Arabidopsis thaliana: one gene and its partners. The protein of the gene in region 2 interacts with the protein of the main gene of each other region in a biochemical or structural test. Each region holds a gene or a part of one and is shown on either strand. Other genes may lie near its edges. The genes, in order: NAP, MPK1, AT2G42300 and MYB39.

Region 1 (7,031 bases), about 23 Mb from region 2:
TTTGCCTCACAATTGTTGTTTGATCTATAAAATTTATCTTATGGAGAAGTTTTAGAACAAGATAGTTATAAAGATTTTAATTATATCTCTTCTTGGATCATTTCAAATGGATTTGACTTTGTATAGTTTTTTTTTTTTTTTGTGTGTGTGTCTATGAACGTCTGGATACAGTAACCTTCAAGCCATGAGCCATGGATAAGATCGTCATCATCCGATACTTGACAGGATGATTTGGCACCAAATGAAACTTATAGAATCTGCAAAGTATTGCCATTGCCATCTTCATTTGCAGATAAGCTGAATCCTTTCCCAAACATATCCTTGGTCCAGCCTACACTCACACAAACTCATCATCTTTCATGTTCAAAAACAAAAATCTTGTATGTGTTTGATTATAGTTACCTGAAAAGCTGTGAACTTGAATGGTGATGCATTTTGAAAGACTCCATCTTTAAGCCATCTTTCGGGTTTAAACAATGCTGCATCTGATCCCCAATTGTATTCCATACGACCCATTGAGTAAGGTACATATGTGACCATCCCTCCAGCTTTTACTTTTGTCCCATTTGGTAACATATCATCTTCTAATACTCCTTTCGGATCCTACGAATATCGAATATACGATTTTTTCTTTTCTTCGTTTCGATATCTCAATTCACAAATTTAATGGATTTTTACTTACCTGAGGAACGGCAGGGTAGAGACGAAGTGTTTCTGTGATCACAGCATGTAAGTAGTGAAGTTTTCCTAAGGAATCGTAGTTCAATAGTCCTGCGAATTCTGTTACCTTCTCGTTGAAGGAATTGAAATCCTCTGTATCGTATTGATGCAACGATGTATTAGTCGCTTCCGCGCTTTCTTTTTCGAGTTCTTGTAGCTCTGAGTATAGTTTCTCAGCAACATTTTCATTCATCATTATCATGTATATAGCCCAAGTGAGAGTTGTTGCTGTTGTATCTCTTCCAGCTATTACAAAGTTGAGGACAATATCTCTTAGGCTTTTCTCTGTTTCTTTGCTATCTGGATCGTCACTGATCTCGATAAACCTCGAGAGTATATCGTGCTTCACCTAGTTACATATGAGAATAAAAATGTTACTAATGTGACAAGTGCATATATTTACATTTTTGAGTTGTATAACAAGTTTATCACCTTGTTGTTGTTGTTGTTGTTGTTGTTGGTAGGAGATATTTGTGCCTCTAATAACTCTGCTTTCCTTCTTCTTATGACTGAATAGGTGAAATCATTGACTACTTTTATGCTTTTACCAAGCAATGCCTCAGAGCCTATGTTAAGGAACTTTTTCATCTTCCAAAGAGGATCTATGAAACGAAGTGTTACGATTATATTTGCGGTATCAAAAGCCTTAGCAAAGTGATTCTCTGGTAACTCTGGAGCCAATGTCCCTATCTCCACACCAAATCCCACTTTACATATTGAATCCAAAGTCATTCTCATCAACAATTCCTAGAGCCAAAAAAAGGATGTTATGTAAGAGAAACTAAGTTTGTAGACTTTAGTGATTAATAGATTCTTACCTGCATATCTACTTGTTGCTCTTTGAAAGATGCTTGGGAAAGGATAGTGAAGAGTTTAAGACTATACTCTTTAAACACTACAGTACTAAAATCTCTAAGATTCTTGGAAGCAAATTCGAAACTCGCGGTTTTTCTCTGTTTCCTCCAAAGCTCTCCATCAGAATTGAAAATCCCATCTCCCAACAATACTTCCATATAAGAATGATAAGTCTCTCCCTGATATACAACAAAAAATCAAAGTCACAACAAAACATATACATGATATTGATATAAAGAGCTTTTTTCACCTTGGGGTAATTGGAGAAGTTTGTTTTCAGGACATATTCAACGTTGATGGGATCAGCTATGTATGTATAAGTAGTGAATGGCATTGGAACCACTACTGTTCTTGAGTTATAAAGATACTCAACGAGCCAATCATGCATTCGATCAAAATTAGTTAACTGTTCGATCGCTGCTCCAACCAAAGGCCAAGTCTTTGGACCACTCTTGTTTCTTTGTCCCCATCGGTGTAAGAAGATCCATGATGTTACCATACAAGCTATAACCAAACACAACGACATTTTTTACCTCTTTGAATCTGAAAAATAAGTTCTAAATAAATTCATAAGAGTTTTTATATTGTTTAGCAATCAGACAAAGTTTGTGACCAATCTACTAATCAACTAACACTCTTTTTTATTATGCCTTCTTTGCAACATTTCTTTGGTGTGTATTCTTTCTTAAACAAGTTTGGTTTCGTGGTTTTGTTAAACCGTGTTTGGTACACCAAAACCGGTCAAAATTGAAATTAGCAAAAAGGGTCCACATATTTATGATAAGTTACATCCACTAATGTTTGAGTCTGCGCAGACTGAATCAAAATGTGGTTTAATGTACGATGATGACGACAAGTAACATTCGTTATCTAATAAAACGACAAAGATAAGTACCCAAAATGCATTGTATCTGGCGTTGATTCCTCCACACGTCATCGACTTGTTCATTCCAAGTTAACGTAATCTCAATCTCTCTTTTTATCATTTTAAAAACATCGTAAGTTACAAAAGTCTTTTGTTTTATTAGTTCGTAATGTAAATCAACTTCGTGACTTCGTCTTATCATGCTGAAACAACTTAATTTTTAATTAAACATTGTTTTTCATTTCACATTCATATGGGAGAAATATAAAATCCCATTGGGTTTTAGTTATAATATTTTACAATTTTCATTCATGTACCCAAACTAACCAAATATCTACCAAAGTAACTTTTCAAGCACATCTTTTCTTGTTTCTTCTTCTTTTTTACTGACCCCATCACTAAAACTTAAACATCGCTTGACGATGATGGTTTAAGATCTCGTCTTGGTTAAACTGAAGGTCCCCGAACCAACTAGACTCCGAATCAGGTTGATGAAGATGATCGAACTGACTAAAATTATCAATGTGAGAGACGGGTCCCATGTAATCCATTTCCAACAAATGAGCCAGCGAACACGTCCTTGGAAGTTTCATCGACGTCATCATCATTATCTCTTCTTCAGTTCTTCTCTCTGCTTCGTTAACTACAACTTTTGTCTCATCCTCCATTAGTACTTCGTCCATGAAACCCTCTTGCTCATTCAGAAGCTTACTTGCTCCTCTCTTCTTGTATATCCTACACAGTACCCATTCATCTAACTGCAAAAATATAAAGAAAATTAACATTTTCACAAGTTGTAATAAAATATACAAGAGCTATAAACTTGTTTCCTCTGCTTACGTACCCTCATGGAACCGTTACGTTTCGTTGATGCTTTACGTGAATCATGGAGACGATACTCATGCATGATCCAGTCAGTTTTGATTCCTTTAGGAGGTCTACCTTTGTAGAAGACTAGAGCTTTCTTGACACCTACGTTACTTGAACCGCTGTGAATGGCTTTGTCTGTACCGGTTGCTTTCCAATAACCGGAAACAGCTGCCCGGTTTGGTCTGACTCCGTTTGGATATTTTCTTTCTCTAGGGCTGAAGAAATACCACTCATTTTCTCCAAACTCTGTTTTCTCTGTAAATACAAAACGAACAAAGCAAATAAGGAAAGTAGCTCTAAACATGAACATCTAGAAGAATAGGTTATCATTGAGAGATAAACCGGGTCTAACCGGGTAATTGCCATGGGTCGAATTTGTAGATATCAACTTCTGGGATGATGGAGACAGGGCATGGTTTAGACATGGTCTGGTTTCGAAGATAGTAAACGATGAGTTCTTCGTCGGTAGGATGAAATCTGAACCCTGGAGGGAGGGTAGATTGGGAAGTTACTTCCATGATTTTCAGACAATTTAGAAAACAATCTAATAGAACAGGAACTGTTTTTTTTCTTTCTGTGTTAGTTTTTGATGTTCTCAAGGTTCTTGAAATGTTTAGAAAGCAGAGAAGGTTTGGGTTTTTATGCTTGAGCTTTTTGTCGTTTACTGTGCGTCACTTCTTTCTTATTGGTTGGTACATTGGAAAATTAAATAATACTTCATTTTGTCCATCTAATAGTCTAATGTCCTATATTATCCCTATCCTATTGTTTTTTTCTAATATACTAAATTTTGTCAAATGGTCATCAAACAGCCACGGTTAAAAAGCTTTTAAAAGGAATTTGAATAAGATGTTGGAGTGTGACTGGTGAACTTATTGAGTAATTATTATTGTTCTTCACCTCTAAACACGTGACCTAAAAGTATATACTTTTAATAAAGCTATAATTCCTTAAAGTAGCTGAAACATTTTTCAGTTTAAATGATAATGTTACTATTGGATGACATATACTTAACAAAATACTGTATATAGTATGATAAATTATTTATTTTATTCTAAAATTTGGTTTACAATAGTCACACTCTTTGTCTTTCATGATTACTGATAAACATGATCAATCTAATCATGTTTATACTGATAATATGATATATATAGTCAATTCGGTATTTTGTAGTAACTTTTAAAGTTTTGTGTTCTATTGTTTGTAGAAATCGCAGATAGGGCCGGTTGTGTCTATAATTAATCATTCATAAAGCTTCATTATACGTTTTATGAAGAAGAATTGAGTCAGAATTATCAGGTAGCGTAGAAAATAGCTTTTGGTTGTGAAGATTCTAAAGGTCTTCGTGGACATATAATTGAGTGTGCTTGACCACTGATTTGTTTGGATGCATTGCATGGCTTTAGTATTAATAATTTAGGTGAATCTCCATTTCAAAGAGAAGTATATTCATTTGTCCTATTTCCCCAAATATTCGTTCTTCATTTCGCTATTATTGCTTTCCTCCTATCTTTGTCTACCCTATCCATTATCCAAATGTAAGCCCAACTATCAAAAGTCATAAGCAACATTATTTTCTCCACGATATAGTTTGCATGACAAAATATACACATCAATAACTTTATACTGCATATATAATAATACTGATATCTCAATAATCAATAACATACGTTTTTCATAAAACAAACTAGTAATTAAAAAGAATCCAAAGGAGAAGTACTAAAGAACTTGTATAACATAAAAACTAGTGTGAAGACCATTCTTGGTCTTAATTTTGGAAGAAACGTGGCATGCTACAAGGCTTGGGGGGTCCAATTTTTTTGCTTCTGAATGACGTGTCATTTTCACATAAAAAGTCATTAGGGATAAGGATTGTGGAGGGCATACACCCACGCGCCACGGCGGATTTCTGATTAAACAATAATTAGATGTCACTAATTACGCATGTTCTTATCTAATGGTGTCATTATTATTCCCTAATTGGGTGATTAAATCTTTGTTTACTACATTTGTCCAAAAAACTCCACACGCTCAATTCAGACTGGACACAAGTTTCTTGAAAATGGGTTTTGTGAGATTACTACAAGATGCGAAGGAACGTTCCAGCACAAAGTGGGAAAGAGGAGAAAAAACAAGTTCATGATTAGCTGTTTATTCTTGTTAATTTCATGATTTTGTTTCGCTATTGCCACAAATAATTGTTCATTAAACCGTTATAATTAAGTGGCGCATGAATATCTTTTAAAATTTTTCAAGAAACTACCTTGTTAATGGACAATCTAAAAATGCTATTCTAACAAATTAAAAGACCCCAAAAGCTATTTTACACAAGTGTACATGTATTATACTATATTTCAAATGGCACATGATTCATCATATGTTCATATACATCACCAAGCCAATTTTATATACTTACTATATAGGGCATGGGACAAAAAGGATAGGATTAAAAGATATGAGGATTAGGATGAGATGACGCAAACAAAAGCTCTAGCATCTTTGTTTAGATAAATTTAGTTAAGGAAACCAATTAAATATGAGTGACGATGATTAATCAAATCGTCATCTTAATCTCTAGCAATCTAGCATCTTTGTTTAGGGAGAAACGATTTGTTTATATTTGATCGACTCCAATTCCAAACACATGCTTTACTAAATTCGTTTCTACCAACTTGAAATAAAAAAGTAACTCCTAGTCTTAGATACATCACACATATAGGCTAAAAGTTAACAGTCTGATTTGCTAACTGATAGCAGCACTGTCACTAAAATAAGGATTTTTTTGAGGTTAGAAAAAAGATAGATAAAGAGTATAAACGATAAAAGATGGAATCTAATTGCTAAATTTTGGTTAATCAAAACGTAACAATGAAGCTGAGGCAGATTAGATTCTAAGGTATGTTCTCATGGAGGCACAAACTTTAGATTATTTACGATCCTTCCACAATACGTTTATGATCATGATTTTATAAACCGGACCGGACGTTGAACTGTACATATATAAAAGCTGGACCAGAGTTCGCGGTTCAACCGGTCTGACCAGCCGGTCCGTGTCAGGTTTTTATTTTTATTTTAGTTATTGCCGGTTACGATGAAACGACACCGTCTTGTTAAGCGTAACTGTGCAACAGTGCAAGTATCACCCTCCGCAAAGCCACCGGAGAATTTGAACCAATGGCGTTGAGACTGACGACGCTAAAACGCGCCGCTGCTGATTTCCGGCGTATATTAGAATCCCGATGCTTCAGTTACGTCGCTGCGATTTCTCCTCCCTTAGACAGCGCCATCGATCGCTCTACCGCTTCGCCGCCGCTTGTTTTACCGGAGTTTTATAATTAACAATCGGATTCTATCATTGATGAAAATAACTTCAGATTCGGTTTCCTGAGTTTCTCTTTCGGTGGATCCATGGAGCTAATGGCTGTGCCCAAGAAGAAGGTAATAATTATATTTCAGCTTTTCCATTATACCACTGCAAATATGAAATTTGAGAGTTTTAGGGTTTGAAAGTGTTGCTGCGTTTGGAATTTGCTCTTTTAGCTGATTTTTTTTACCCTCTAGGGTTTTAGGGAGGTTTACTATTTTGTGGTAAAGATTCGATCTTGAGATCATGATTGGAAGATCTTGACTTCAATAGACAAGAATCAAAGATCTGTTTAAATGTAATCTGTTTTGCTTTGCTTAGGCCCAAAATCATTGTTTTTAAGAATGATTTGGTTAA
Region 2 (7,842 bases):
TCAAATCTCTAAGAAAAATAAAAAGACTATAATCCATAGTCTCATTACAAGCAAATAAAACTGAAATTGGTCTTTGTGTAAACTACAATCCATAGTCCCATTTTTTCGAGTTGACGTGGCAGTGTTACTTGTATAGTTGAATTGAAAGAAAGAACCGTTTGAATTGAAAGAAAGAACCGTTTTAGCCAGTAAACCGGGTTTGAACGGTTCAATTCAATTTATCAATAATGGCGAAGAGCGAGAATACCAAAAGAACGACGGTACCGAAACAAAATCAAATCCGCGGACCAAAATTTAATATCATTATCTATTCTGACTATACCAAAACCATCCCAATTGGCTTTGGTAAGTTTATCTCAAACCGGCCTAGCCACACTAGTTCCAAACTCCACACTAAACCGAATGATTGACCTGAGTTGGTGAATCATCGATTTCCAAAATCTTGAATACTATTTTTAATTTCAATTTCAATCTAAATCATATAATATATCCTCCAGCCTTATCGTGCTATTTCCTTAAAAGAAAACCAAACGTGAGCATGTATAATAAACAAAGAAATAGTACAGGTTGTCCAAACAACAAGAAATCAAAACTCCAAACTAAAAAAATTTCATTTACAGATCATCAATTAGACGAAAGTTGTACACAAATGAATCAAGAAACACTTTACCACGACCAACAAAAATAATCAGTTTGAATAGTTTACATTTCACTAGCATTAGAGAAAGGAGAAACAAAGAAGAAGAATTTACGTATCTTTCTGTCTCAAAATTAACAACTATGGACAAAACAGAGAAGACAGAACAAAAGAAACCAAGGAAAATGTTAGATGAAACGAATAAAAGAAATTCACAAAAAAAGAAAAAGTTTTGATTTTCGTCACCGGGTTTCACTTTTATCAGGAGCAGCTCTGTTTTCAATATTTAGTTTCTTCCTCCTCTTCGTCTCGTATGTTGATCCTCTGTTTCTGCTCTGTTCCTTGATCATTGGAACCAAGTACCAAACGATACAAGTGCACATGATCGAGACGGTCCGTCCGAAAAACACCAATAATATTAGAACCAGCACCACTGTCACGGGTAATAAATGGTTTGGTCTTGAAATCTTCTTCAGATTCTCATTCAATACACAGCTCTGTTTCTGCTCTGTTTCCAAATCTGTTTGCTTTATTTCTTTTTCCTGCTCTGTTTTTGATTCGGTCTTTACATTGAAATCATCTAGAACATCCTTATTCTTGACCTTGAAATCATCTAGAACGTCCTTCTTCTTGACCTTGAAATCATCTAGAACATCCTTCTTCTGACTTGCCCTCTTTGTCTTGATCATTACAGGGACGCACTCGCCGGAGCTAGTGAAGACAAACCGAACAAGAGGCGGTCCATCAGGATCAAGCCTCTTTGCGTAAATGCTCTGTCTTTTCTCATCGAGCTCAGATAGAAGTGCAGAGAACTTGTCAAGTCCTTGATTTGAATAAGGATTCTTGCTTTCTTTGTTTCCTCTTCTCGATCTCCTAGGTGACGAAAACGGACTCAACATATCAAATCAATTCAGTCCAATCAACAATATCCTCTTTTTTTTTTTTCTGTTACTGGTCCTTTGTGTGGAGAGGTTGTGAGAATTTGAGAGCTTGAAGGAATTTGGTTACGGAGGAGTTGTTAGGCAGGATTTAGTATTTGGACAAGAGAGACGGCTTTATTGTTATCATAATGAGACTTGTCTTAAACTAATTGTAAATATTTCAGATACACAAATGGATTGGTGATTTGACCAGATCTCATTAAATGTGATGAATTGATCAGATCACGTATTGTTGACACTTTTTTTGTTCTCTTTTAGGACGAATAGAAGATAAGTTTCTACCAAATGAAACGTCATCCCAGATGTATTTTGCTGATCTTACAAATTGACTTTCTTGCGGAAGAAGCTGCAAAAAAATTTCCATGATGGTGTAATCATATTTTTTTGGTTTATCATAAGTAATTGACTAATTGTTAATTTAACTTAGTTTTGACTTGGGGAGAAAGAAAGACAAAAGTGATTCAACCATAAACATATAGTTGGAATATTCATTGTTAATTTAAATTTCTGATGGGTTTACAAAAATTGGAAAATCCTCCAAGTTATTTATATACTATGAAAAGAAAAATGAATTATGAGAAGGAAAGTTGGTGTAGAAGAAAAAGCTTTTAGCCTTTAAGGCTTTTTAACCAATAGAAGCAACATATCATGTGTTGACAAAAAAATGAAGCATATCATGTGATAAATGAATGAGGAGGGTACTGATACTACTCACCAAAATTATCTTATAGAACTTCATTAAGAAATTGAAAGAAAAACAATACATTGTTTTTGTTACGATTTGGAAAGTTAGGTTCGGTGCAAAGGCCTACCCCTTCTATGAATCCGAAGGCCTATGATCATGGTGTGATCATCAAATATTCATATAACAAAATGCTTAATTGTTGATATTCTTAGATTTAAGCTATATGAGAACAACTATATGAAAACTTGATTCATCAAAAGGCTTGGATTGCATGAGAGGGTTAAAAGTTCTGCAAGAACGCAACAAACAAACAGAGAAACAGAAACACAGCTCTCTCTATGAACATATGTTACAGACACACATCAAGCTTGTAATTAAAAAAAAAACACAGCTCTTTCTATGTACATATGTTACAGACACACATCAAACTTGTAATTAAAAAAAAAAAACAGCTCTCTCTATGTACATATGTTACAGACACACATCAAGCTTGTAATTAAATAAAACAGAGCTTCCATGGCATCACTATTCGCTTAAACTATAAGTTAGTCTTCATCTTATTTTTCAAGACTATATACACTATGAGTCTATGATGACAATCAGACATAAGAAGAAGAAGTTTTCTGTAAATTACCCGTACAAACAAGACTTGAGCTCAGAGCTCAGTGTTTAAGGTTGAAGCTTGTGGATGGTAGTGAAGCATCTCATTCCACATCATTTCTCTTATCATCTCCTCTCTCAAATCCTCATCTACATCGAGATCGATAGGAACTTGAGCAGGAGGGTTTGCATTCGGGTCATATAGAGGCGCCATGTATGGATGCTGGAGTGCTTCAGAGACACTAATCCTCTTTGACGGATCAAAAACAAGCATTTTCTGCAGAAGGTCGATGGCCAAAACATGAGCGCCCGGGTAAAGTCTGGATAAAGACATCCCAGGTGAGTACGGAAGTGATCTAATGTATCTTTTAGCTTTCGGGTTATCTATGAACTCAAGATCTTCTTCTCTTTGGCTTCCGAGAATGTTGACAATGAGCTTCAGCTGGTTAAGACATTCCGTTCCTTGGAATATCGGTTTCCTACCAAGAAGCTCGGCGAAAATGCAACCAACAGACCAAACATCAATGGATGTTCCATAGTTGTCACAACAGAGGAGAAGCTCTGGGGCTCGGTACCAACGAGTCACAACATATTCAGTCATGAACTGACCCTTGGTGTTGCTCGCACGCGCTAGTCCAAAATCGCATATCTTTAAATCGCAGTTTGCGTTGACAAGAAGGTTACCAGGTTTCAAATCTCGGTGCAGGATATTGGCTGAATGAATATACTTGAGCCCTCGAAGCAACTACACAAAAAGAACAAAGCAAAGCAAAATTTCAGGAGAAAGCAAAGCTAGAACCAACAGTAAATGAACGGGATCAACCACACACCTGGAACAAGAAGTATTGGCAATGATCGTTACTAAGAACTTGAGAAGACTTGATAATCTGGTGGAGATCAGTGTCCATGAGCTCATAAACAAGATAAACATCCTTGAAGCTCATCTTATGAATTGGCATCATGACATCTTTCAAAGCAATGACATTCTCATGTCGAAGATGGCGTAGAAGCTTGAGCTCCCGAAGAGTCCTCAACGCATCGATCCTATTCTCATAAACATTGTGAATCTTCTTGATAGCAACTTTCTCGTTGGTGTCACTGTTAACAGAGGAGCAGACAACACCGTAAGCTCCACGACCAATAGGCTTGATAGGCATGTACTTAGTGTCGATCTCGAACAGAGTTTGCCACATTGAGAAGTAATGCTTCCCTTCATTCCTTATCCCATTAGGAGGATCAACCAAAGTCGCCATTTTTTGTTTTCCCTCTTCATCACAATTCACACACAATCAAGAAATCAAATTTACACACACAATTAACAAATTATTATACTAACTATTTATCAAAACTTTTCAAGTGATAAGTTACTGTAGATTTCTTGTGTAAACAGATTGGTCTGTTAATAATAGTGAAAAGGAAAAAGATCAAACTTTATCGATTTGGTGAAGGAACATAAACGATCGGAATCAATGGGAAAAAAGTTTACGGGATAAAGCGGGAAGGAAATTCTAACCGGTGATAAGTGACCAACGACGTTCCCCGGAGGTTAGATTTGGCCGGAGAGAGAAACCTGTGGAAGTGAGAGAGATTTGGCCAACGCTCGGACAGTTGACCTGCTACTTGTTCGTTACTAGGTAGTCTTTCCTTATATAATTTGGGCTTAAGTTGAGCCCAATTAATATTGGCAAACAGATTCACGTCTCTATCTTCTAAAATCAATTTCGGTATTTTTTAGTAACTGATCACCAAAGTAGCATCATTTGTGAATATGTGTTCTACGAAGATTTATAAAAATTGAAAATGAAGAAAAGTATTTTAAAGTAAAATATATCATAAATGTAAACAATGACACATGACTAAAATATTGCATCACCAATTCACCATCTTCTTTTGCTTTAACTTTACGTTTCCATCACACATCTTTTCATTTTGCTAAAATTAGCATCTAGAGGAAAATAAACTACAAAAGATTTAAAAGTTTTCATTAAGTCAGATTATTAATATAAGAGAGGAGGCCCATGCAGACAGAAAGGGAAAGCCCATAAATCTAAGCAGTGGCAAAAATGTTAGAAACTGTATAAAATGATACTAATAAATTGGTTGGAGTCTATTATAGTAGCAAATAAAAATAACGTTAGGTATTTTTGATTAAATAAAAGATGTTAGGTATCATTATGATCACTCATTCTCTTCAACCAATTATGTCAATACTACAGCTCATCAAAAGCCTTTATGGTAAAGCATGTTTCAGATATTTTCATTATTCATATACACACTACACAACATATAGTATTAAAGAAAATAAATAGTGTATAGATATTTAGAGATTTCCAACTAATTCAACATAACCAATACAGCTTTTAATCATTATCTAAAACCAGACAAAGATTCTTTCCAGTTGGTTTTCCCTGTTCTATTTCCTTACAAACAGTTATTGACTATTGAGCATTGCCTTCACTGTTGAGAAAAATTTGTGTAAATCTTACGCACTGTCAAGCAACTGCATGCATTCTCTAAATAATTACCTGACTCTAGATATAAAAGAACTGAATTAATGTAAAAAAAATATAAGCAAAATATCTAGGAGACAGATATTGACGGGTTACTTCAAGTTTGGACAAAAATAATTAAGAACACAAAAAATGCCGTTGAAACCTTTTCTTTTTGTAGTACAGTTTTTAGTTTTGTTGCTAACGTTCAAATTATTTATTTATTCATCGCTTATCTTGTTTTGTGGATTAGACAACCACGAAAAACAATGCTAGGGTTGTCAGAAACACCAAATATTCGAATTTGCATCCAAAATTCGATACTCATCTTGAACTTTTTTGTTTGTGACATTTTATTAAAAATTTCAATTTTTCCTAAAAGAATTTTACTTTAAATATTTAAAAAGAAGAAGCATGTTCATTTTTCAATATATCTGGTCCCCATATTAAAACAAGCAACAATAATTGACAATCTCTTTCTTTCATCTTCATCTTATTCTTCTTTATCTCTCTCTCTCTCTCAAGACTATTGAGCTTCTTTCTTTTTTCCTGAGTCTTTTAGTCTGATCTCTTACAAGAATGGCGTTCGCAGGAACAACCCAGAAATGCATGGCATGTGACAAAACAGTTTATCTTGTCGACAAGTTAACCGCCGATAACCGGGTCTACCACAAAGCTTGTTTCCGATGTCACCATTGCAAAGGAACTCTCAAGGTTTGATCTTTGATTCTAGTTTGTGATGATTTCTCATTAATCCAGAAGTAGATCTAGTAGATATATATGTAGATGAAGAAGTCCAATCAATTAAGTAGAAATCTTTGAATTTTTGGCTATGGAAACTGATTGGTCTAAAGATTTGACTGTTCTGTTTCTTCTTCTTCTTCTTCTTCTTCTTGATGAGTCAGCTTAGCAATTACAACTCCTTTGAAGGAGTTCTCTACTGCAGACCACATTTCGATCAAAACTTCAAGAGAACTGGAAGTCTTGAGAAAAGCTTCGAAGGTAAATTACCAAAAACAGATCAAAATGTGAAAAGCTTTGTGAGTGGGGATTTCAAATTTGGAATTATCTATCTAAAGTTTGATTCATATATATGTACAGGGACACCAAAGATTGGGAAACCTGATAGGCCTTTGGAGGGAGAGGTACTTTCGGACAGCAGAACAAAACCCTTTTTCTGTTTTTGAGGTTCTTGAATTTTTTTAACATTTAACATGAGAGAAGTTTAACAGAGACCTGCTGGAACCAAAGTTTCGAATATGTTTGGTGGAACACGAGAGAAATGCGTTGGTTGCGACAAAACCGTGTATCCAATTGAGAAGGTATCCAATCTCAAATCTTTCCTGATCAGAATCAAGTTGTGTCAAAGAAGATTGTTAGATTGTTTCCATAACGAATCTGATCTGTTCTTGGCTTAAACCAGAGCTGAAACATTGCTTATAATGTGGACTTTGTGTAGGTATCGGTGAATGGAACATTGTACCACAAGAGCTGCTTCAAGTGTACACATGGAGGCTGCACGATAAGCCCTTCGAATTACATAGCTCACGAGGGTAAGCTATATTGCAAGCATCATCATATTCAGCTGATCAAGGAGAAAGGAAACTTGAGCCAGCTCGAAGGAGGAGGAGAGAATGCCGCCAAGGACAAAGTCGTCGCTGCTTAAAGAAACAATTCAATCTCTCTGGGATGATTTTGACTATCGAAGAATCAAAAGAGTCACTACTTCTCCATCGATCGATAACATATATTGGTTTTGTTTCTTCCTACGTTTGTGTTTTTCTTTTTGGTCTTTAATATGTTTTTTTTTTTTTGGGACCTTTGTTCACTCTTTTATTGGGTTTCTTGAAATGAAACTAGAGAAACAAAGAAATAATGGATGTTTGCTTATGAGATATATATGTATTACGTTCATATGATATAAATTAATTTTCGTGAAGTTTAAGCTTCAGCTAAATGATCGATTCAATTGCTACCATCGTTGATTCAGGTTATTGATAATTTGTTACTCTTGGCAGAGAGGATGATGAAGTCGCGTGAAGATAGAGGATGGAGATGTAAACATATTGGGCTAATTCCTTACAAATGTTAACATAGATTAAAAACATAAAATAAAACAAACAAATAAGGGTAACAAACCGAAACAAGAGAGACAACCCATAACATTAATAGGCCCAACGACCAAACCCATGAGTCCCAACTCGGAGGAGACCAATCGACGAAAACCCCTACACAAGAGGCGCACTAACACAGAAAACAACCCTTTGCCGAAACTCAATCGGAGAAGGCTAACAAAAATTTTGCAAAGTACTTCGTGAACTTGAATTTGTAAAAACAAAACATATTGATTCATGGATTTTTTGTTTTAATGTTATTGTCTTCAAGGAAAAATCGGGAAAATAATGGCTACTATAGATATAATACAATGATATGAAATTAATTACAAGTAGAAAGTAGACATACTTATTAGCCCTATTGTAAATCTACCAA
Region 3 (9,690 bases), on a different chromosome or scaffold from region 2:
GACTACCATTAACTCATTCTCGACTTAAGTTTTCCCATGAAAATAACAGGACCACATACTATAATGCTACACAGAAGCAAATCTGTATGCTTGTCATCGAGTTCTACTGTTTCAAGTTTCAACACATGTAAACACAGTAAAGCTTTGAACAATAAAACAATGAGAAGAAGCGAACATGTTAGTCAATACAACACAATCAGACAAAGACAAAAAAAAAGCTCTCCACTTTATAGTCAGAGCAAGTACACATAAAAACCTTATAACTAGTGGTAGATTTATGCAGAATTAGCACCAAAATAGGAAAAAGATTAGTGTTTTACCATGTAAGGCAGAGTACAAGCTGCCATTGTTAATGAAATCAGTGATGAGAAGCTTCTCGTCCTCTGCATAGTAGTAAGCTCTTAGCCGTACAATGTTAGGATGATTGATCCTACCAATGCTCTCAACTTCATTCACAAAATCCTTAAATCGCCACGTGTCATTGCCGTCGCTGAGCCTTCTAACGGCGACAACGGTGGAGGACGATTCCGCCGCCACTACTCTATACACAATCCCGCTTCTGCTCTTGCCTATCACGTAAGCCGATGCTCTCAGCAAATCCTCAAGCTCAAGCTCGAATCCTTCATCAAACGCTACGAATTTACCTTCTTGCCCTTCTTCGTCGAACTCTGAAACCACCGTCGTCGTCTTTGTCTCCGAATTGTACCCATCGGAGCTTCGTTTTCTCCGGATCAGCCATACAGAGAGAGAAACAGCTCCGATTACAACCGAAACTCCAGAAATCAGAGAAACGGTTACTGAACCGGTGATCTGCTGCTTCTTCTCCTTTGCGTCGTCATTGCTGATTACACTAGGGTTTGGTTTCTGGAGTTCTTGAGTACCTTCCGGCTTTGCAGCGACGAAATTTGGGGTTTTGATTTTTTCACACGGCGTTTGCAATGGGAAGCCACAGAGATGAGAGTTTCCAGCGAATGCGTTTGGTCCTTGATTCAACAGAGATCCCACCTGAGGTACTTTTCCGGTGAGATTGTTGTGACTAAAATCTAAGCTGACGTGAACTCGAAATCGACCGTACGACGGTGGAATCTCGCCGGTGAATTGGTTGAAAGAGAAATTCAAGGTTCCGACGAGGCTTCCGAGTTCAGTGAGTGACTCAGGGAGTGAACCGTTGAGATGATTGGAGGAGAAATCAAGGTGGTTGAGTGACTTCATGGACTTGATTTGGGCCGGTATTGGGCCGGAGAGTGAGTTGTGAGAGAGATCGATGTACCGGAGCTTGGTTGCTTCGAAGAGACGAACCGGTATGGTTTTAGAGAAATTGTTGTGAGCTAGATCAAGCCGGTTTAGCGAGTTGAGTAAACCGAGTTCTGATGGAATGTAACCGGAGAGACTTTTTCCGAAGAGTACAAGAGTTGTGACTCGGCCGTTTGTGCAGACGATTCCGGACCAATGGCAAGGAGTCGGGTCGGATTCAGACCAGTGGGTCATTACTCGGGTCGGGTCGTTATCGACGGCGGATTTGAGAGCTAGGAGAGATAAACCGTCGGAATTGAGAGAGGAGCAAAAGCTCATGCAGAGAAAGATGGAAGAAACAACAAGTGAAAGAATCGATGGTAACTTCATTTTTTGCTTAGGATATAGGAATCTTGAAACTTTTTGGTTGTTAAAGAAGCTACAAATTACAGATGATTCATATAGTGTGAGGCAACGAGAAGTTGCAGAGGAAAAACGGTAAACAGTGAAGACGAAGGAGAAGAATAATGGGAGATTTGACCGAGGTATGATTCTTTTATGGTTTCATGTTAGCAACGTGGTGTAATGTAGTCATGATCAATTTTTTGAATTCTTGTCCATATACTATGGTTTGAAATTTTAATAATATATACACTACAGTTCTAATTAAAAATGTGATATATTGGGATTTGCGTTTTGGGTTTTTGACATTTTGTGGTTATTTTTGAAACTTTTTGAAGTTTAGTTATTGATTGATGCAGGTGGGTTGTTGTTACATTTTTAATTTGTGTGTATCCGTTGGTGATATCTAGGGTCACTGGATTTTTATAGCATTAAAACTATATATAGGTATCAAAAAAAAAAGTTACAACAAATTTGGGATACAAAAAATAAACAAAGTGTTATCTTAAATGCTATAGTCTATAGAATCTTAACTCGTATAGGACCTCTTCACTCTTGAGCCATGAAAAAACTGTACAGTCCCACTGGGTCGATAATTGTTTTACTTTTACAAGATTCAGCAGTAACTAAAAAAAGGATTAAAATATGTTTAAGAATAATTGAAAATAATCGAACTCGACCTATTGCATATGAATTTGAATTGGATAGAGGATGTCATATTTATTCAAATTAAAGGAGGGAAGAGACGGTAGAGAGTGGATTGTGTCAGAGAAAAATCATTAACCAACCGACAAAGTAACCACACAAAGATGCATTTGAAAATATGCCACTTTTGGCTCCTCTACTCCTAGTCTTAATGGGCAATTCCGAAATATACACGAAGAGTCACAAGTCCCATTGTTGTTGGGTTAGCACTTTGTCACGGCCCAAATTCAACTTATTCACAACATCAAATAAATATATGCATCATATCATCACATCCGACTTTTGTTAACAATTACTTTTTTCAGTTAAAGAACTTTCAAGAGGAAATAGTAGTACCTTAAAATCCTACAAAACCTTGTCGTGCAAGAACTGGGAGGGCTACAAATTGCGGTCAATGTACGCAAACATCTTACCGTTTTTGGTACAAACACTAGAACTCCAATGCAGTGAGTGAGATGGGCCAATTTTGGCAATCTCAATCAACGGTCCATGTGGCCCAATAAATCACTAAAAACGGCCGAATTTTTAGATCCATGTAACTTAAATAATTGGTGGGGACGGAAAGTCTTGTCGTTTTCATTTATTCGAGTGTGGCACTCTGATTCATCTCAAGCTTATTTTTTATAAAAAGAGTAATTTTAGAGGCTGAACAATAACGACCTTGAACAAAATAAAATAAAATAAGAGGGTGAACAACGACCAGTCAAAATTTGAAAATTTACTCACCAGAGTCTATAAAAATTAAAAAGGAAAGGAAAAAAAAAGAATGAATCATAGTGAAATGACCTTATTTATGGCTCCAACTATAGTGATTAGTAACCACTAAACCAGAAAAAAACAAGTGACCCATTACACAGGGATTAAAAATACTACCGAATAAAGCCCAATAGGCCCAATTCAAAAGCGTCTCTCTATCATCGTCTCTCCAAACCCCATAAATTGGATATTTCCTTTCTCTAAAAATTTGGCTTTATTAACAGACGCACTCCAAAGCTAACGTTGCTTTCTTCCCACTCCAAATGGCTCTTGTGCTCTCAGAACACACACAGATATAATAAACTCTTAACGAAGAAGAAGACTTTTTCTTTTCTTGAGCAAGCTCTGAGAAACTCACAGAGAGGGACAGAGAGAGAAATATTTCATTCGCTACTCTCTTTAATACCGCCATTGATGCAACCTCCTTCGCGTTAACTGTCAAAATACTCCCCAACTGACAAAAATTAAATTCCTTTTTTTCTCTCTCGATTTTAAAAGCTCTAAAAGGAACGAGTTGATCAAGTCGGTCGGTTCTGGTTATCACTGAATTTCATTCAACTCGGTTTATTCCGGTTTAAGTGTGATTTTCCCGGCTAATGGATCTGACCCAAGGTTTCAGAGCTAGATCCGGCGTTGTTGGGCCGGTGGCCGGACTAGAATCTCTCAATTTCAGCGACGAATTTCGGCACTTAGTGACGACGATGCCTCCGGAGACTACTGGCGGCTCCTTCACGGCTTTACTCGAGATGCCTGTGACTCAGGCCATGGAGCTTCTCCATTTCCCAGATTCATCGTCTTCTCAGGCCAGAACCGTTACCAGTGGTGATATTTCTCCTACCACTCTTCACCCTTTCGGGGCTTTGACTTTTCCTTCTAACTCGCTTCTCTTGGACCGCGCCGCTCGTTTCTCGGTGATTGCTACAGAGCAAAACGGTAATTTTTCCGGCGAGACTGCTAACTCTTTACCTTCTAATCCCGGCGCGAATCTGGACAGAGTCAAAGCCGAGCCTGCTGAGACCGATTCAATGGTGGAGAATCAGAACCAGAGCTACTCTTCTGGAAAAAGGAAAGAACGCGAGAAGAAGGTGATACCAATTGTTCACACAATCAAACTTGTTAATTAAACAAGAGAGATTAGTCCCTAATTTCTTTATTCCTTAATTTCTAGGTCAAAAGCTCGACGAAGAAGAACAAGAGCTCCGTGGAGTCAGACAAGTTGCCATATGTTCATGTCAGAGCTCGTCGTGGTCAAGCTACTGATAACCATAGCTTAGCAGAGAGAGTAATTCACAATCTCACAGACATGGTTTGTATTAATTAATTAGTGGCAATATGCTAATTAATCATTAACTCTTGATTATAGGCAAGAAGGGAGAAGATAAACGCACGAATGAAGCTGCTACAGGAACTGGTCCCAGGCTGTGATAAGGTTTGTCTTTAGATAATTGACCTTTTAATCAAAAAGCTAATCAATAATTAGATCTTCATTTGTGCTTAAAGACAGAATCTTTCTTTATTAAGACCAACCCCCAAAAAGTGATTTTTTTTCTATAATTTGATCATGTGGTTTGATAAGGGTTTAGTGCTAAATTCCTCTTATATGAAAAAGGTTTTGTGGTGTGACAAAGAACAAAACCACTAGTTTGGTAATTTCACTGCCTTGAAGATATGTAAACTTTATTTTCGTGTGGGGAAGAATATCTCACGGGTCACAACCATTTAGGTAAACTAGTAGTAGTAATACGGAAGTGATGTGACATTGCTCAATAGATTCTTGTTTCTTCTTCCCAAAGTGTATTCATTTGAGCTTGAAGCTTACTCCATAAATGCCGATAATGGATTATATGATGTGGGAATGCTAGCTGGACTGTTCCCTTAAGGTTTTGGGTAGAGGGGACAGATTTTGGTGGATAGATCAAGGTCAGACTGTGTTTTGGGGTCCATCTTTTGATAATAAGTGGCAAAAGTTGCAGGCTTTCTATGGAGGGTGAGGAGTGTAGTATCGTCTCTAATAAGTTTGGTATCTATCAAGTAGAAAGAGGGTGAGGAGTGTAGTATCGTCACTAATATTGTTATATGCTTTGAGTCCCACAATACCTAATTGGTTGGATACATGATGTGACACTCCTGCAGACAGCTAACTAATCCATAGATATCTTGGAATTTAGCTGCAATTATTGGTGGAAGGAGATGATGATAAGTGACAACTCTTTAAGAGTTTGTCAAATTTGTGGGGTTTTGGGACTTGATTGTTTGTTTCATGAAATCCTGAGAAATCCTGAATCCATGTTTGTAAACTACAGATGTTGCTCTGATTCGCTTTTCTGGCATATTATCTTGAAAAGAGTAGAGTTGTTGATTTTATAGAAGCCGTTATACATATGCAACTTAGGATTAAGGCTCATTTTCACACTGCTTCGTTAACCACATATATTTCTAAAAACTATGCCTTGTTCTTCTTTCTTTCTGACTGACCAGAAAGCTTTGGCCTGCAGATTCAGGGCACTGCATTGGTTCTGGATGAAATCATTAACCATGTGCAAACTTTACAGCGTCAAGTGGAGGTAGGACTTCTTGCACTATCTTTTGTTGTTGTTTACCTGAAGGTCCTGAACTGAAACACTAAGCTACACAATGTATGATAAAATTGGTGCCACAGTGTCACATAACCGTTTTTCTTCTTTTCAGATGCTATCTATGAGACTTGCTGCAGTAAACCCCAGAATCGACTTCAATCTAGACAGCATACTGGCTTCAGAGGTAAGTATCAACTAATCATATAGGAGAATTAAGGTTGCATGTGATCTTCTTTTACAATAAAAACTCTTAAATTCAATGTTCACTGGGAAAAACTTCCCTTTGACCATGTTACTCGTTTAAGTAACCATAGGGATTATGTTTCTTTGAGTAACCTTTTTAAGTTGTATCACAAAAAGAGAAACTTTTGGATATTTATTGATCCAACATTAATCGACCCTATTCTAGACTAGGCTTAAAGAAGAAGAACAACGTGGGGGAAATAAATACTTAGACCTTACAAAAATGCAGTACAAACAGTGAGATCAAGGACTCTAAAAAATCTTTTGAAAGGACTCATTAGTTCTCTCAATTATATCATACAGAGAGATAAAAGTGGTCAGAAACACGGACCACCTTTGTTCTATGGTCTATGATGCTGTCTTTTTTTTTTATCCTTGCACAATTATTTTTCTGTGGGTCTCAGTCTTAAGTTATTGTTGCTTCAAGTTTCACCTATCTAATCTAATAATCAACTTTTGTTTCTCTGCAAATAACTTTCTTATTAAATGACCTTCTTCTTTTACAGCTTGTACACCATTTAAGAACCAGACCCCACTCATTAAAAACCTTGTTCTTCTAGGATGAGTTACAGTAAAATAGAGCTGGCTTGTTGACTAGATTGAGAATCTAGGATGTTGGATCAATCATCTCTAAGAGAAGCTGATATGTTTTACAAATTGTGTTAATAATGATGAGGTCCAATTATCTTTTCTGCAGAACGGCTCTCTTATGGATGGTAGCTTCAATGCAGAGTCTTATCATCAGCTGCAACAATGGCCTTTCGACGGCTACCACCAGCCGGAATGGGGAAGAGAAGAAGATCATCATCAAGCCAATTTCTCAATGGGTTCAGCTACTTTACACCCAAATCAGGTGAAAATGGAGCTCTAAGTTGGAAACAGTTTGACATGCTTATGTGTATATATAAGAGTTATATATATCTACTAAAGTTTCGATTGTTGAATTAGAGGTAGAAAATGGTTATGATTGTTTCAGGTCTTTGTTCATGGCCTTTCTATATTTACTAGATTCCTCAATGTAGAATTCAGAATGTCTAAATTGCGTTTCCCTTGAGAGAAGTATATGAAGATTTGATATGTTACTGAGCAATTACGACGTCGTACACGAATACTATCATCCAATACTGCTTAACCGACTAGTGTGACCAATTCAATTTGGTCTACCTAAATTATAACCAAACTGCCAGAACCGATTTGGACTACAAAATTTCCAGTCAAACCGTAAAACAAAATGAGAACTGAGAATACCAAGTCATACCGAACATAAAAGAGAGTCAATTTCGTATATAAATCTGTTAGACCGGATAATCTAAGCTGAAACCATTATATAATTCCCAATTAAACTGACAATTTCAATAAACCAAAATTGAAATTCTCGGTTCGGTTCGAATGAAACCTTTTGTAGGTCGTGGTCGTATATAGTTGGACACTTGACAAATCTGAGCATTTCCTTTTTGCTTACAGCGGAAATATCTGAACCAACGCGATGCCGTCGACGCAGTCCTTGACCGTCGCAGCGAAGACGCTACGAAATCGGATCTTCTCTAGGTCTGGATCTACATCCGCCGGTCCGAGTCGGTGGGCGACGCCAGGTCACGAGGAGCGACCTAAGGGTTACTTTATGAACCGTACTCCTCCGGCACCAGGACAGTCGCGAAAATGGGAAGATTGGGAGCTTCCTTGTTACATCACCAGCTTCCTTACAATTGTTATCCTCGGCGTTGGACTCAATGCCAAACCTGATCTTTCAATCGAGACTTGGGCTCATCAGAAAGCTTTAGAGCGTCTTGAGATGGAGAAGCTCGCGACCGCTGGAGATTCATCTGATTAAGCATCACCGTTGGATCTCCGGTTGCTTGATTTGGTATGTCCTTATTCTCCGGGAGTTGAGGAGTTTTTTTACCGTTTAATGATGATGATAACGAAGACTGGAGAGTTAGGGTTTCGTTTGGCCCTTGAACTTTGTTTCAATTCTCCTTTGTTTTGTCGATAATGATGATGTTCATGAAATAAGTGTTCTTTTAACTGTTTAGACGCAATTGCCTTCACTCTCTACTTCTTATTACAATTCTCAAATTTGGTCACTTTTGATTTACTCATTTCTCAAATGATTCAATTTCGACTATTGATTGCTGCATTACTAATTGGAGAAAGAGATTAAACGAGAGTTGTATGCTGATGTTGTGTGCTTCTCTTCCTTAGTTCATGGCTTGTTTATGTTCTCTGTGAATCTCAGGTTTGCTTGTTTCACTCAGTGCAGTGCATATTGATTAGATTAATAGCTACTTTATGTTAGTCGATTCTTATCTCTTTAGATCATCTTTTTTATACTTGTCATTTGTTGTAGTAGTAGTGATAAGCTGATAGTGTAGCTCTAACTAGGGCATGGATTGTTCCTTTGTGTTGTAGACATGTTCGTGATTATAGGTTATTGCAGCGTGCACAATAAGTTTTGTAGGCTTTCAAGTGGTTGGAATGGCATCAGCCATTGTTAGATGCAACACTCTAGATTTCAGTTTTGTCATTTGCTGTATTTTATTAGGCTAGCGTTTGGAGTTTTCATGGTGTCAGCTATTGGTAGATTTGACACACTAGATTTCAGTTTCTTTGACGGTGGTGTTTATTAGGTTTCTACTTAGCTGAGAATAGCAGATGAGAATGTTGATTTCGATCTTATACTTGGACAAGTCTGGAGTTGAAAGTAACTTCACTAGATTTGGGTAGATAATGTTTTAGAAATCATGACTGCTTACCTCTATCTCTATAGATTTTGGTCGATTAATACTATACTGCCTTTGAGTACTACTATTGCTCATAGTTTCCCAAATCCTTTGTTTAGTTTCCTAAAGTGTGGCTTCATATTCTTCTCTTTTAAGTACAAGTACTTTATGCTGGTGTTGGCTTTTTAGCAAGCTTGTGATCTTCATCTCATCCTCTGGTTTCATACATGATGATTAAACAAAAGAAGAGACTAGCGATTAAACAATAGAAGAGACTAGAGTAGTAGCTTAATTTGTTGTTTGCCTTAGTTGAGCAATCTCGTGTCATCAAATTGCATCACATAGAGAGGGATCTTGTGGTAATTACTTCTCTCTGTGTAGTTGTGTTTCCCGAGAGTACAATTCTGTAACACTGTCTGGAACCATTAGGCTAGGTCTAAGAAGAGACATTATCACGACACTCTTCACATGCTTTTTTTTTTTATCTCTGGAGACCCAAGAAGAGTCTAGTGTAAAGCCATGTGAAGACCATTTGTCATCTATCCATTTCCTCTGTACATCAATCAGATGTTTTCAGTTTAAGAAGGAAAAAAAAAAAAACTCGGTAGTCGTATGTAAATGTAAGTCGGTGTCGGTCGGTGGAGTTGAAGCCAAATAATCAATAATGTTTAGGACGAAAGTGAAAAGGTCAATAACGGTCAATTAAAAGTAAAGTTTATTTTTCTGGTAATGTGACCGGTTATTCCCGGTAAACACACGAGCCACCGACACATACTTCCATGGGTCACGACCACGATTGCAGTCCGTACACGATCCATGTTTTTATTTATTTAAACGCACCATAACTTCCCGCATTCGGATCTCCCATAGCAAAGACAGAGAGAGAAGTAAAGTAGCTTTATTATGGATTACAGATAAAAGACAGGTAATCTCAATGACGCAAAGATAAAGACAGGCAATTTCACTTCAGTGATGCAAATCTGACAGTAGACTTCACTCTTGTGTATATTAAAGTAACCGTCTTGAAGAGGAAGGAAGATAACCAAGTGAATTTC
Region 4 (7,366 bases), on a different chromosome or scaffold from region 2:
TGATTGAACCGGACCGAATCAAAAATCGAAATATAGTGTTTCTTGCAACCAGTTCAGTTTCATTTATGTACAAACTGACTGAACCAAGCTAGTTTTAGACGAACCAAAATTTCTTTGAAATGAGTTTTTTTAGGAATATTTAAACATTAAGTATTTTTAAAATTTTGGTTGGAATTTATTACAAACGAAGTATATACATATCTGACCGTTTGGAATAACATATTTAAACATTTTCTATCATCAACTATGTATAGTACTACCGTCCGAACCATATTTATAGTATTACAACTCCACACAGTCTACCCAAAAAAAATCAAAAGGCCTTTGATAAATAAAATAGAATAAAATTCTTACGTATCACCTAATCTAGTTTTAACTCTCAATTATCTGTATTGAATTAGTTCTTCAGTCAAAGTCAGTTTATGAAAAAACTCTCTTTGAATACATTAAAGCGAAACCATAAGGGTTTCGTTTAATAAAAGGTTGTGTTGTGTTTGTGAGACAAAAGGACTATAAAGAAAAATATCATGCAGTTTGATCTAACTACGTTCCAAACATATTCAACATTTGATTGACCTAAATTAAAAACTTAAAAGGTTTTCTTGTGGAAACTTGAGTTTCTCATAAAAGTACCAACATGACATGTGGTAACATTGATTTTCAGATGTGGGAACGATTTTTTCTTTTTCCTCAAAGATGTGGAAACGATTAGAGAAAAAGTCTACAGAAGATTTTGAGCGGCGATAAAAGAGATGGACGATAGATAAAGAGTATTAAGACTGGGACACTTTGATGGAGAAACAATTAGCTCTTTCGTTAAGAAAAAGCGCTCCTAGCGGCTATGCAAAAAGTTTGGATAAGAGGTTATACCACGGTTGTGTTTAAAGGCGATATTAATTAACATATTCAAGGGTCCTATAACTTCATCCCACATTTCCAATCTCTTACATGATATCTATCATTGACGTTCAAAGTTTACATTGACACTTTTCAATTCACAAAACGCTCATGTACGTAATAATATAGTTCATCATCTTGCTAAGCATGGTTGTAACCACTCTGTTTTTTTTTTTAATTGTGATTCCGTAACACCGCCTGGATGGCTAAATCAACTCTTATGTGATGATTTGATCGATTAATATATTACTTTTTGAGGGAAAAGAAATCTAAATTTGGTTTAAATAAACTAATTGAAGTGAATATCTAACTACGATAGCTTCTTTGTTTTAACATATAGATCCATTGTGTATAAACAAATTTTCATACTATTTTTCTCTTAAGCTCAAACAGATTGTTTTATTTCGCAAATCACAACAGAGCATTTATTAAATGGAAATCATTAATGAGCTTTAGTAGACGGCTTAATCCACAAATTATACTTGAAGATTTTTTAAATAAATCGGATGATATGTGTAGGAGTTTTGACTATTTCTTAGCCAAAAATATTTTTGACTTTAGTGTTCTAGAAATAATGACTTTAGTGTTCTAGAAATAAAATATATATGGATTCATTATGTAACGACAACTTATGATATGACAATTAATGTTTGTTTTGCTGGAAATAACCAAACATATGCGTCTCCAAGAGACACGATCACGGATGTTTCGCATTAGTATAGGACAACTCTTTAGAAACTTTTGCAAATGGATATTTTATATGCAATTATGTTTATTTGTTTCAAAACTCTTGTGTTTGTATTCTATATTGCGTATAGACAAACCTTTGGTCGTTGTTCATATAATTTTACACGTTAACTGTTTTTTCCAAGATTTTCCATCTACCGAATTATATACTTCCTTGTCAAGAAAGGGAGATAGGAGCAGGAGAAAATTTATCCCAAACTCATCTCTCTTTACTTTATTGACCATAACATCATAAATACTGTTACATATATTTTTTTTTTTCTTTTTTTTTTTTGGCATTTGACACCTACTAATTTGATTTCTTTTGGTATTAAGTGAAATCAAAAGTCTCTTTCCAACTCAAAATTTAGCTCAATAGCAAAGAAGCAATCTTTGTCTTATAACCTATTGAACGATCCCAATTCATAATTTGAATTTGATATACTGTGAAAGATAAATTTGGTCTATTAGAAATCGACCCATAAAGATATAAGATTTGGATTTAGGGTCACGGAAAGATCTACAGCAAATCCGCATTCTGAGTCAAGCTAGAGAATATTGTTATCACCAAACGAGAGAAGAGTTCACGATTTTCATCGTTATCCACACAAAAACACTGGTGATGGGACGAGTTAAGCGTTACTTCTAATATAGTACGAAGACATCATTATGCCAACTAACTCAGTATGCATGTTCTGATTATGTGTTTTAGAGATCACATCCGATCCATGCAGTTGTTATTTTTTTTTGCTAAAGCACATCCATCCAACGTACGTACGCTAACAGTTGTTCTCTAATTGAAACCAGTTTCCAGCTTTTATGACTTTAACATACGTTGGATGGTCGTTGGAACTTGGAAGATACTCTTGGTGCCTCAAGCGACCTTCACTGTTTTCTATATGGTGCAAGTTTATAATTCAAAGATCGATCGGTTTCCAAAGATGTTCAAGAGTAGGAACAAAAATCCAAACAAGAAAAAAGATAACCGATCTAGACTGAAAGTTTATACAATGTTATGAACTCATTTGAATTCGGAAGTCAATTTTAGCTACAGAGACCGAAAGAGTGAAGCAGCCATTGAATTACAAATTGACGACTATGTATCTGTTGCGTAAGCCGCGTAACAATAACATTACATAGAATTTTAAGGCTTGTCTTATCTATACTCGTTGACAATGTCAAATAAATATAGCATAGGAATTTTATACTATATGGTGCTACTAATTACATGGAACCCTTAATATATACGACTGTTTAAATAGTCAACGTGATAAATAGAGAGTTGGTAAGTGTTTGGTTTTAATTTGACAATGTGAAACAAGCCTGAACATTGACCCTTTAAACCATAACAGTAATTTAACGGTAAAAAAATAGTAATTAAGTATGTAAACAAGATCTTCCGTGAGAGTGAAATTAAACCTCATTATTTAAATTATACTAGTAAACATTTTCTCCAACCGTAGGAAATTTCGTTTTATGTTTTTTTTCTAATTTGTCGTGATCCTTCTCATTCCTTTGAAGACAACAAGATTCTATTATGAAAGATTTTTTCAAAGATCCAATAGTATAATACAACGTAATATATAATACCAACTTTATAGTTACACCTTCTAATAAAATCCACTTACTCGTTTATGTGTTCCTCACGCTATCGACTTAATGTTTGGAACCCGCGAGAGAAGTTCTTTAATTAAATTAGTCAATCGAAAAAAGCTATCCATTTCCTTTATCAAAGTAAATCAATTCGAAAATCTCGTATTAACTTGATCATCCAAATCCATATGTATATTTTCGAATAATATAAAACAGAAATTGAGATAACCTATACTAAAGAGAGTTTCACGTAAAAAATTTATATTTTCACGTAACAAAAAATTACAAAACAATTAAACAAAAAACAAATGATAATAGCATAGGTAATTTTTTGTGACTTGAAATTCAGAACGTATGGTAGGCACAAACGACGGTTTGGTAACAATAAGGAGAATAATAATAATCTTCGTTTGAATTCAAATAGAGGAAGAAGAAGCGAAAGGGTAGGCTTTGATCAACCATGAGACATTGAAGCAGGTAGAGATAATTCTTTGAATGCGGTGGAAGCAATCACATAATGATAAATGCAAGATTCCAATTTTGATGAACTTTGCAATGAGAACATAATATTGCTTTTCAATTAAATATTAGTTAAATATACCCTTCAAGAAAAGTAGTTAACAAGTTTAATTTATAATCATGCATTTATGCGAAATTCTTATTTGTAGGTTTTAATCTAAATAGAGAAATATACACATATATAGGAAATATTCAAAAATGATCACATGCATGTTTAATTTTTGAAAAATGTGGCTTTCTTTTATAACATAATTTCAATAAGATTAGTTTGAATTGCAGATTATGAAATAGTATATAATTTGTGATTGTTTTACAAGTAAAAGAGCGTAAGAAATTTGGTCCCAAAAAAAAAAGATTTTAGTAGGGAAATATCAACATTTTATTCTAACATAGCTAGGGCAAATATTTTATACATCTAACCCACAATAACAAAATCCATTAATGCATTAACAATTATTCGTATTCTTTTATATAAAAATTATTTGTTTGAACATCATCCCCACGAATTACTCTTCGAAGTTCGAACGCCATGACACATATCATATTATCAGTACCTAATCTTGATTTTGTTATAACTATTTTGGTTATTTAACTGATTTATTGAATGACTCATATATTGTAGACTTATGACACACTATGAAAAATAATATTTACACCAAATTCTGACGAATGCATACACAACTTTACTTTAGTTATGTCATGACTGCTTTTCACATCTATATATACATACAAACCTAATCGTAGGGAGCGACGAAACGAAGATCATATCTTCAAAAACCTCTGATAAGTTTTGGTTCTTGATATAAACAAAATGGGAAGATCACCGTGTTGCGATCAAGACAAAGGCGTGAAGAAAGGACCGTGGCTGCCAGAAGAAGATGATAAGCTCACTGCTTATATAAACGAGAATGGTTATGGGAATTGGCGGTCGCTTCCTAAGCTCGCTGGACTTAACCGCTGTGGCAAGAGCTGTCGGCTCCGGTGGATGAATTATCTCCGGCCTGATATCCGGAGAGGCAAATTTTCCGATGGAGAAGAGAGTACTATCGTTAGACTCCATGCCCTCCTTGGCAACAAGTAAGACTATTTTTTTTTCGTTAAAGCTTTTATGCTATTTTGTTAGCACTAAATGATTTAGGTCTCGCTTGTTTCAGACGTAATTATGTGTTCCTGTTTACATGTTTTTTTCATAATTTTAAAATATAAACCATTTTCAGTTCTTTTAAAATTAATATAAAGTGCAAAAACAAATTTACGTATGGATACCATTGCATAGTTTATTATTGCTATTATAGAATTCACATCCTCAAGACTATAGTCTAAACTTTAGTTTATAATTCTCTAACCATACAAAAGGTTAAGTTTTCGTTGGTTCATTTTACTAACGTTTGAGTCGAATTTTTACCATACAGATGGTCGAAAATTGCGGGTCATCTTCCAGGAAGAACAGATAATGAAATTAAAAACTATTGGAACACTCATATGAGGAAGAAGTTATTGCAAATGGGGATTGATCCAGTGACGCACGAGCCAAGAACCAACGATCTTAGCCCTATCCTCGATGTTTCTCAAATGCTCGCGGCAGCAATCAACAATGGCCAATTTGGTAACAATAACCTCCTCAACAATAACACCGCTTTGGAAGATATTCTTAAACTCCAATTGATCCATAAAATGCTTCAAATCATAACCCCCAAAGCCATACCAAACATCAGTAGCTTCAAGACCAATTTACTGAATCCTAAACCAGAACCGGTAGTCAATAGCTTCAATACCAATTCAGTGAATCCTAAACCGGATCCCCCGGCTGGTCTTTTCATAAACCAAAGTGGAATCACTCCTGAGGCCGCCTCGGATTTCATTCCATCTTATGAAAATGTTTGGGATGGTTTTGAAGATAACCAGCTTCCTGGTTTGGTTACGGTTTCTCAAGAGAGTTTAAATACAGCAAAACCGGGTACCAGTACGACCACCAAGGTAAATGATCATATCAGAACCGGTATGATGCCGTGTTACTATGGTGATCAACTACTAGAAACCCCATCTACTGGTTCGGTATCGGTCTCTCCCGAGACAACCAGTTTGAACCATCCCAGTACAGCTCAACACTCATCCGGTTCAGATTTCCTAGAGGACTGGGAGAAGTTTCTTGATGATGAAACAAGTGATTCTTGCTGGAAAAGTTTCTTAGAGTAAGATCTATCTCCGCATTGATTAACATAGTATATGATTTATATTTATGGTTTATTAACAGAATTGTTTTATCTAATCTGCAGCTTAACGTCACCCACATCGTCACCTGTCCCATGGTAGAACTGGATTTTGTTCGGGTCGTATACTCATAGTTTTAAAGACAATACATACACAAAGATATTCGATTAATACTCTTAATTTTGTTTGTTATTAAATATTGATTTAAAGTTTGTATATTTTCTTGTAAAGGAATTCTTATTTGTAATTTGTTCTTATTTGGTTTGGTTGTTGTGTAAAGAAACACATTGTAATCACCATTCTATTATTGCCCATTTAATAACAATATTTTGGATAAATATCTACGAGCAGTCTAATTTATACAATCAAACAACTCTATGGAAACATAACTTGATTCACAAGTTTAATAAAAATTCACCTATTTGCCAATAAGGAAATATATTAAAATGTCAATCTCTCGATGTTTCTAACAGAAAGATTGACAAAAAATCAAAAAACAAACAGTCACCAAGAATGGAGGAAGAAGAGAAAAACCCTAGTTCGATCTACATAGTTGCCGATCTTCTAGAAGATATATTCCTTCGACTTCCCTTGAAATCCATTCTCATATCGAAAAGCGTCTCAAAACGATGGAGATCAATTCTTGAGTCGAAGACGTTCGTGGAGAGACGAATGAGTCTTCAAAAGAAGCGCAAAATCCTGGCTGCTTACAACTGCAAATGCGGCTGGGAGCCTAGGCTCCTCCCCGGGTCGTCGCAGTGCAAAGGGAACGAAGAGATCGTCTATCTGCACTGCAACGCCGCACAACCCTCGTTTACTTGCGACGGTTTGGTCTGCATTCTCGAACCACGTTGGATAGACGTTTTGAACCCCTGGACAAGGCAACTCCGGCGATACGGATTCGGATTTGGAACCATATTTGGAGTAGGTTCGGCTTTCTCTCCAAGACATTGGGCAATGGGATTTGGTAAAGATAAAGTTACCGGAAGCTATAAAGTAGTGAAGATGTGTTTAATATCTTTCAGTGAAATTTGTGCACGTGATCCTGAGGTGGAGTATAGTGTTCTTGATGTCGAAACTGGTGAATGGCGGATGTTGAGTCCACCTCCTTATAAGGTCTTTGAGGTAAGAAAATCGGAGTGTGCGAATGGATCGATCTACTGGTTACACAAACCTACTGAGAGGGCTTGGACAATACTAGCCTTGGATCTTCACAAAGAAGAGTTACATAACATTTCAGTTCCTGATATGAGTGTCACGCAAGAAACCTTCCAAATAGTGAACCTTGAGGACCGCCTGGCCATAGCCAATACCTATACTAAGACTGAATGGAAACTAGAGATTTGGAGCATGGATACAGAAGTAGAAACATGGACCAAGACTTACTCCATAGATTTAGAGAATAGAGTTGCTTCCCGGG

What was found.
Region 1: of the proteins of MPK1 (region 2) and NAP, one has a biochemical effect on the other in vitro, tested with the Arabidopsis thaliana proteins (one large-scale study listed by BioGRID).
Region 3: of the proteins of MPK1 (region 2) and AT2G42300, one has a biochemical effect on the other in vitro, tested with the Arabidopsis thaliana proteins (one large-scale study listed by BioGRID).
Region 4: of the proteins of MPK1 (region 2) and MYB39, one has a biochemical effect on the other in vitro, tested with the Arabidopsis thaliana proteins (one large-scale study listed by BioGRID).

The regions. Positions count from the first base shown.
Region 1 is NC_003070.9:26,119,030-26,126,060, reverse strand, and holds NAP (NAC-like, activated by AP3/PI), read right to left. Parts: upstream 3,982-7,031; 5' UTR 3,829-3,981; coding exon 3,663-3,828; intron 3,566-3,662; coding exon 3,285-3,565; intron 3,199-3,284; coding exon 2,839-3,198; 3' UTR 2,547-2,838; downstream 1-2,546. Other genes in the region: CYP704B1 (cytochrome P450, family 704, subfamily B, polypeptide 1), read right to left, coding at 152-331, 403-603, 683-1,069, 1,153-1,467, 1,539-1,754, 1,826-2,101; AT1G69485 (Ribosomal L32p protein family), read left to right, coding at 6,719-6,748. UniProt on the Arabidopsis thaliana protein: Transcription activator that binds to, and transactivates the promoter of the abscisic aldehyde oxidase AAO3.
Region 2 is NC_003070.9:3,345,853-3,353,694, reverse strand, and holds MPK1 (mitogen-activated protein kinase 1), read right to left. Parts: upstream 4,614-7,842; 5' UTR 4,377-4,613; exon of another isoform or gene 4,131-4,376; 5' UTR 4,117-4,130; coding exon 3,694-4,116; intron 3,609-3,693; coding exon 2,919-3,608; 3' UTR 2,515-2,918; downstream 1-2,514. Other genes in the region: AT1G10220 (ZCF37), read right to left, coding at 880-1,536; WLIM1 (GATA type zinc finger transcription factor family protein), read left to right, coding at 5,932-6,066, 6,258-6,354, 6,454-6,497, 6,585-6,674, 6,812-7,018.
Region 3 is NC_003071.7:17,617,850-17,627,539, forward strand, and holds AT2G42300 (basic helix-loop-helix (bHLH) DNA-binding superfamily protein), read left to right. Parts: upstream 1-3,045; 5' UTR 3,046-3,692; coding exon 3,693-4,181; intron 4,182-4,264; coding exon 4,265-4,378; intron 4,379-4,459; coding exon 4,460-4,525; coding exon of another isoform or gene 4,526-4,537; exon of another isoform or gene 4,538-5,591; coding exon 5,592-5,660; intron 5,661-5,784; coding exon 5,785-5,856; coding exon of another isoform or gene 5,857-5,871; exon of another isoform or gene 5,872-6,612; coding exon 6,613-6,786; 3' UTR 6,787-7,003; downstream 7,004-9,690. Other genes in the region: AT2G42290 (Leucine-rich repeat protein kinase family protein), read right to left, coding at 321-1,623; AT2G42310 (ESSS subunit of NADH:ubiquinone oxidoreductase (complex I) protein), read left to right, coding at 7,402-7,746.
Region 4 is NC_003075.7:9,880,549-9,887,914, reverse strand, and holds MYB39 (myb domain protein 39), read left to right. Parts: upstream 1-4,482; 5' UTR 4,483-4,546; coding exon 4,547-4,812; intron 4,813-5,147; coding exon 5,148-5,927; coding exon of another isoform or gene 5,928-5,931; exon of another isoform or gene 5,932-6,011; coding exon 6,012-6,048; 3' UTR 6,049-6,316; downstream 6,317-7,366. Other genes in the region: AT4G17780 (F-box and associated interaction domains-containing protein), read left to right, coding at 6,460-7,366.